Cricetulus griseus: one gene and its partner. The protein of the gene in region 1 purifies or fractionates together with the protein of each later gene. This does not show direct contact. Links are inferred from orthologs where the notes say so. Each region holds a gene or a part of one and is shown on either strand. Other genes may lie near its edges.

Region 1 (3,645 bases):
CTGAAGAATCTCTTGAGCCAGAAGTTCAAAACCAGCCTAAGAAGCTAAGGTGCTAAACTGGAGGAGCTGTCCGCATCTCCACACCAGCCTTCAAAGCAGCTGAGAGAGGAGCTGTTACAGGTGGTGGTCGTAGTTCCTCCTGTAGTTCCTCCTGCCGTTTGCCCCTAGGTCAGTCAGATGTGATTGTATTTAAACTAGATGAGAGCACAGGTAAGCCTGAGGACTTTGCGGAAGTGCTAAGGTTCCAGCATCCCACAGCAATCTCAAGATGACAGCCTGTCTCCCCTCCCCCAAGCCAGTGATATTTACTCTGATAATATTAATCGATTTATTAAAACATCTCCTTCCCCACAATGAAGGAGTTTGTCCGAAAACAAGCCAGCACAAAGCTGCCTGACCCGGAAGTCATCCAGTTCTGTGTCGCCGTCTTCAAATGCTCCCGGCTCCTGCTCCCCAGACGGAGTTGACCAGCAATTCTTAGAAGACTATCACAAGATGATCAAAGGAGGCTCCGTTGAGGATGCCAGCCAGTACTACTGTGACAAGGTGAGGGTGGTCCAGGTGCTGTCACACTTGGACCGAGTGGCTCGGTGACCCTCCCTTGTAGGCAGGCGAATGAGTAGTTCTGACTGAGAGGAAGTGTCTTGTCACCAACCACTACAGAGGGAAGGGATATAAACAACACTGTCACATGTCTTCTAGAATGACGAAGGAGATGGCTACCTCGTCCTGATCCGTATCACACCAGATGAAGATGGAAGATTTGGATTTAATCTTAAGGTATGCTGCGGAGAGTATGTGTAGCCCTTAGGTTATATGCAATGAGACAATCTTCAAGTAGATTTTGAATTTCAGTCAGAAATCTGCTACATACCTACACTGCATCAACAAAACCAAACAAAACCTCACTTGGGGCTGTAGAGGTAGCTCAGTTGGTAAGGTTCTTGCCACGCAAACATGAAGACCTGGTTTCAGTCCCCAGAAACTACCTAACAGAGATGGGTGTGATGATGCACTCCTGTAATCCCAGTACTGGGGAGGCAGAAGCAGGTGGATCCCTGGGCCTTAGTGGCCTGTCGAGCATAATCAGCAAGCTCTGAGCAAGTAAAAGACACTGTCTCAAGAAACAAGTTAGCTGGCACCAGAGGACTGAGACCCCCAAGGATGACCTCTGGCCTCCACCCAGAGACACACTTGTGTATGCATGCATACTCATATACACAGGTGCACACAATCATTCAGAACCACTCGGGGCTGAGACCAGAGCCTTTTATATGCTTGTACAACTACCTTACAGTAAATGTTTGCAATGTGCCTGACATTTGTGGCATTATACTAGATTTCTGTCATCTTACTGAGCTCTTAGAATAAGTGATTGAGGCAGAGCATGTGGGACTAATGCCTGTAACTCCACTATATCAGAGGCGAACACAGAAAGATTATGAGTTTGAAGCCGGCCTAGACTGTCTATCAAGTTCATGGCCAGCCAGAGCTATCAAGACCTTATCTCAAAAGAAATGAAGCTACTCCCTCAGCCTGGACACATGGGGGAGGGCCTAGGCCCTATCGCAAAGGATATGACAGACTCTTAAGACCCTCCCATGGAAGGTCTCACCCTCCCTAGAGAGCAGAAATGGCTTGGTAGGGTGTTAGTGTGGGACAGGGGAGGAGGGGAGGGAGAGGGAACATGTAAAACAATCTTGTTTCTAATTCAAATTTTAAAAGATGGAGAAGAAAAAAGAAATGAAGAAATAAATAGTGCATAGGACGGTTGTTAAACAGATCTTACAAATGAAACTGAGGTTCAGAAAGTAGTGTGTGTGTGTGTGATTGGTGATCAAACCCAGCCCACAGCCCACCCTGGAGGGGTTATTTAGAGAACCCTATAGCCCTGCTAGACTGATAAGGGAAAGCCAGTTCTGTGAGTTGCTGGGCCTCCTTGTCTAATGGGTCCCTGTAGGCAGTGTCTCCAAACTGCTACCACGGGCCTGCGCCCATCTGTGTACATAGCATTATTGAAGCAGGTGCTGCACCCATTCGGTTACAGCTTCAGGGATTCATTGGTGGAGTTAAATGACTGCCTCAGGGCCCTCTTTCCCACACATCTTAAATAGCTATTGAGGAAGCATCATCTAACTTTCATCTCACTCACACCTCCCCACTCCCTCAACAGCTCCCATTCCTGGTTTTTGTTGTTGTCTTTGTTTTGCTTTGTTTTTTTTTTTTTTTGGTTTTTCGAGACAGGGTTTCTCTGTGGCTTTGGAGGCTGTCCTGAACTAGCTCTTGTAGACCAGGCTGGTCTCGAATTCACAGAGATCCGCCTGCCTCTGCCTCCCGAGTGCTGGAAAAGACTTCTTTATTTATTTTGTATACAGTGTTCTGTGTGTACATATGCCTGCAAACCAGAAGAGGACATCAGGTCCTATTAGGGACGGTTGTGAGCCCCCATGTGGTTGCTGGGAATTGAACTCAGGACCTCTGGAAGAGCAGGCAGTGCTCTTAACCGCTGAGCCATCTCTCCAGCTCTCCCATTCCTGTTCTAGAGTGAATTGGGGCTGGCTACCAGCCTCTGGCTTGTCACACACACCCCATTCTTCCTGAAGCTCCCTAGGGCTCTGCTCACAGGGAAGCACTCAGGTGCACATGGCCCTTCCTGAGGCCTTGTACCTCCTCTTTTGGAAAAGTTAAAATAGTCCCTTTCCAGGAAATGTGGTCGGGTCCTCCCATGGCATCTTCAGTTCTAGTGATGGGGATGTTGGGATGTGCTTCCGAGCCAGTGGAGTGCTGGCTACCCTGCTGGGTAAAGAGGAGTCATTAGTGTGTTCTATAATTCTGCAAAGGCTCCCAGTCCTGTGATTGGTCCTCCTGTAAAGCCTTCCTAAACTGTAAGGCTCACATTTACTGTATCTTGGTATCTTTGTTGGCAAGACTACTCAAGTTTTTTTTTTTTTTTTTTTTTTTTTCTGGTTTTGTTTGCTTTAAAACATTTGCAGGGAGGAGTGGATCAAAAAATGCCTCTTGTGGTCTCCAGGATAAACCCAGAGTCGCCTGTAAGTAAACACATTCCATGTTACTTCCTGTGTTTGCTTTCCCCTAAGTCAAACAAGTTTCTGTTTCTACATCCCATTCCTGGGTTTTGTTGGGATTTCATTTTTATTTGATTGCTTGGATGGTTAGGTGATACACACGGACAGATGGAGACAAGCGTGGGACACCCATTAACTAGAACTGTGCTGTGCAGTGTGGTCTCTGAAACTACAGCACTGTCACCTGGGGCCTTGTTACATGTGCGAACCTCTGGCCAAAGCACAGGTGCAGGCCACAGGTGCTGGCCCAGGCCTGGAGTCCTGCTTACCCTAGATCTGTCGGTAAGAAGATCCCTTGGGTGATATGTATGCACATTGAACTTCGGGAAGTGCTGCTCGAGCGAAGGAGACTGAGAGAGTTTACTTTCTGTTTGCCTCCTGTAGAGATCCTTTGCCTCTTTCTGTTTTTTCTTGCTGTGTACATATGTAAGGTGTAGCATGATATGTTGGCTAAGCCTGTATGGAGTGGACAGGTGAGTGGGCGGACCTGCTATATTCTGTTTTTTTGTGTGATGGTTTGCTTTCACTAAAACATTGCAACGTGAGCAAGTGATTGTGC
Region 2 (3,745 bases), on another chromosome or scaffold:
GAGGAGATGAATGGCTGGCTGGAGGCTGTGGCTAGCTCAGTAGCAGAACACGCCGAGATGGCCCGCTGGAGCCAGACGCTACCTACCACATCATCCACGGATGAGGGCAACCCCAAGCGCGAGGGCGGGGAGCGTAGGGCCAGCGGGCGCCGGAAGTGACTCCAGGTACCCTCCCCCCTTGGAGTCTGACAAGTCTCCTTGCCCCTCCTCTCCGCACTGTGGACACAAAAGACACCTTCTCATCCGCAAGGGCAGGAACGACCAAGGCGGACGTGTCACGGTGGGCCCTAGAATGGAAGGGAATTCTCCTGCACTCCAAGAAATGGTGGTGGGGGAATGCTGTCCCTATAGCCATATCTCGGTCCCTTCCCGCTCGCCAACCCCACCCCAGGTGCTGGGGCTCCATTCTTTTTATGCAATAACTGAGCTTGGTGGGAACGGGCAGGGAGCCAGTTGAGCCAAGCCCCCTGCCCCATCGTCAGATCCTGCCCCAAGAAGCTGGAGTGGCGAGGGACCTGGGAGGTGGTGGTATTCGTTGGCCTCCTCTCCTCCCTAAGGATGGACACGGGGGCGCTGGTGAGGTCCCCTGGACCATCCAGGGTGCTAGGGGGTGGGGAGGGGACACATCCCCTCCCTGCCTTTACCTCACTTCCAATGCTGCCTTGATCTGTCTGGGAAGAGGGAGCGAAGGGGCCCTTGGCCCCTGCACCCCGCCATCTCAGAGCCATGCGGTTAATTCCCGACTTAGTTTATTTTTGCAAAAACGTAGACCTCCCCCCCCCAACCTCCTTCCCTCCTCCCCGCCCCGCATCCGCGAAGGCTTTTAATAGGAGGGGGATTCAGAGTTCAAAACTGTCTTCCTCTCCCCCCACCCCCACCCCCCGTCCAGCTGTAAATGCCACTTCCCGAGGGGAGGGGGTGGGGAAGCCCTCCCCCCCGCATGCTTCTGGCGGGAGCACCTCCCTGGGAGTGGAGGGATCAGGGTTACAGGCAGCCCCAGTGGCTGCCCGGAGACGACGCCAGGGCCAGGGCCAGGGGTGCGGGGCGGTGTGGCAGGCGCACACTGTATGTACCTATAATAAACCCCTTTGGCTTTGACGGTCTACGCTGGTTTCTTTGCTCGTGTGAGACAGGATTGGAGGGTGGGGCGGGCAGGGGTGGGGACCAGGCTGCCAAGACGGCGTGCTAGACTCTACCGACTCACCCAGCAGCGGTGCAGCAGGCTCATCTCAAGATCTGCACACCTAGAAAAGAGAAGTCGAGACACAGGAGGGGAGAGTTATGCGCGTCACGTCGCGTCCCGTCCCGTCCCGTCCCGTCCCGTCCCGTCCCGTCCCGTCCCGTCCCGTCCCGGCCAGGAAAGACCGCCCGGGCTTTAAAGAGTCAGAGAACGTAATTTCCCACGAGCGAGCGCTCGGTCCAATCGTCGGAGAACCCCGGAGTCTCTAGACCAATAAGCGAGCGCCGGGGGCGGGGTCTGCGCGCACCCGGAAGTGGGTGCAGACCGGCAGGCTCGCCCGGGGGGCCATGGCTGCTGCCGCGACCTCCGCAGCGGAGGAGGGGGGGGTCCCGAGTCGGGGAGCCCCCGGGGAAGTCATTCATCTGAACGTGGGGGGCAAGCGGTGAGTCTGGGGGAGCCCCCGAGGCCCCATCCTACGGGACTGGGGCGGGGGTGCACGCCTCTTCGGGGAGTGGGGGTGCTAATCCCTGTCCATCAAGGCTTGCTCCGCCCCGGGATGGAGGCTTGGCGCTTGAGTTAAAAAAAAAAAAAAAAAAGAAAGAAAGAAAAATGGCCAAGGAGGGAAGGTTCGGTGCGTGGATCAGGCGGGAGGAGGCAGCCGTCCTCACCTCCCCGTCGCCTGTCTCCTCCTCGCCCCGCCGCCCAGGTTCAGCACCTCTCGGCAGACGCTCACCTGGATCCCGGACTCCTTCTTCTCCAGGTGATGAGGAGAGCCGGTTTGGGGCGAGGGTGGGAGGGGGCGGGAGGAGAGGGCGTGGGGAGACCGGTTTCCACCCTTACTCACCTCTGCAACTCGGCCCACGACATCCCCTCGGCTTCCCCTCTGCTGTGTGCAGCCTTCTGAGCGGACGCATCTCAACTCTGAAAGACGAGACCGGAGCTGTGAGTGGGGCAAAGTCAAAAGCGGGACGGCCTTTGGGAGGGGGTCAGGACCCCCTCTTTCCTCCCGGTCCTGACCAGGCCCTCCCCACCCCCTGCAGATCTTCATCGACAGGGACCCCACCGTCTTTGCCCCCATCCTCAACTTCCTGCGCACCAAAGAGTTAGACCCCAGGTTGGTGAAGGGTAAGGGGGGTGAGTTCTCCCAAGCGTGAAAGTCTCCTTCCCCGGATGTTCCTTTGTTCCATTTCTTTTAGAGTTATTCAGTCTTGGTCACGTTATACAGCCACCCCCTCTCCAAATATATGCACACATTTGTACCGCTCATCTTTGTTCCCTGGTTTTTTGTTTTTTTGTTTTCTCGAGACAGGGTTTCTCTGTGGCTTTGGAGCCTGTCCTGGAACTAGCTCTTGTAGACCAGGCTGGTCTCGAACACACAGAGATCTTCCCGCCTCTGCCTCCCGAGTGCTGGGATTAAAGGCGTGCGCCACCACCGCCCGGCTCGTTCCCTAGATTTTTAAAAACAGTATTTATGTATTTGTTTGCTTGTTTGTTTGAGATGAGGCCTTGCTCTGTAGCCCTGGTTGCCAGGCTGGCCTCAAACTTGCTTTGCTCCTGTTACCTCTCCTTCAGAGTTTCTGGGGTGTCGGGTGTGCACCGCCACTCAAACTCTCTAAAATCTTAAGCCTGTCAAAACGAGCGCCGTTTCAGAACCCTCAGAACGTGCTGCTCACCCCTACCCCCCAGACTTTTACCCCCGAGTCTCTTCTGTTTACCCAGGGGTATCCACGGGTCCAGCCTCCTCCATGAAGCCCAATTCTATGGGCTCACTCCACTGGGTAAGTAGAAGTCTCCGAGTGTCCCTCCCGACTCCCATCAGTCAGCGCCCTCAGTTATTTCCCAAACATTCTTTATCGATTTGACTCCCCCGGTCAGAAAGACGTTTGGGTTAGAGCTAAGAGCATTCGGTGTGGGTCTGGCTCTGAAGGAGTCGGCAGTTCTGTGGGAAAACAAATGGGGAGACGGACGTGGGTCTGCCTTAGAATCCCTCAAGACCAAGTTTGGAGTCCTTCCTTTGCAGTTCGCCGCCTGCAGGTAAGGGAAGAGCTGGATCGATCCTCCTGCGGAAATGTCCTCTTCAATGGCTATCTACCTCCTCCAGGTGGGCACTCCCAGTAGACGCTGGGGAGGGGAAGATTGGGTTAAAGACTACATTTCCCACAAAGCTACAAACTCGTAGGTACCTGCATTTGGAGCCCTGAGCTCCACTGGGAGTTGTAGTTCTTTATCAGCGTGTTTGGAAAGGAACTAGGAAACAGCATTTTCCATGAGCATGATGGGAGGTGTAGTTTGAGTTTTTTCAGAAAGGAAACATGAAATAAAAAGACAAACATGTAAAGAATAGCATCCTCATGGGGCTGGGGAGATGGCTCAGAGGTTAAGAGCACTGACTGCCCTTCCAGAGGTCCTGAGTTCAATTCCCAGCAACCACATGGTGGCTCACAGCCATCCGTTATGAGATCTGGTGCCCTCTTCTGGTGTGCTGATAGACATGGAAGCAGAATGTTGTATACATATTAAATAAATAAAATCTTAAAAAAAAAAAAGAATAGCATCATCATGCTA

What was found. The genes of interacting proteins can lie anywhere in the genome.
Region 2: the proteins of Ptpn3 (region 1) and Shkbp1 purify together in Homo sapiens (affinity purification with mass spectrometry; 4 studies listed by BioGRID and IntAct, with this or other methods). This does not show direct contact. The link is inferred for Cricetulus griseus from reciprocal best matches to the Homo sapiens genes PTPN3 and SHKBP1.

Annotation. Positions count from the first base shown.
Region 1 is NC_048595.1:86,660,221-86,663,865, forward strand, and holds part of Ptpn3 (tyrosine-protein phosphatase non-receptor type 3), read left to right. Parts: intron 1-359; coding exon 360-546; intron 547-702; coding exon 703-780; intron 781-2,993; coding exon 2,994-3,050; intron 3,051-3,645.
Region 2 is NC_048602.1:8,560,662-8,564,406, forward strand, and holds the start of Shkbp1 (SH3KBP1-binding protein 1), read left to right. Parts: upstream 1-1,480; 5' UTR 1,481-1,527; coding exon 1,528-1,622; intron 1,623-1,886; coding exon 1,887-1,940; intron 1,941-2,076; coding exon 2,077-2,122; intron 2,123-2,220; coding exon 2,221-2,294; intron 2,295-2,899; coding exon 2,900-2,958; intron 2,959-3,200; coding exon 3,201-3,281; intron 3,282-3,745. Other genes in the region: Sptbn4 (spectrin beta chain, non-erythrocytic 4), read left to right, coding at 1-159.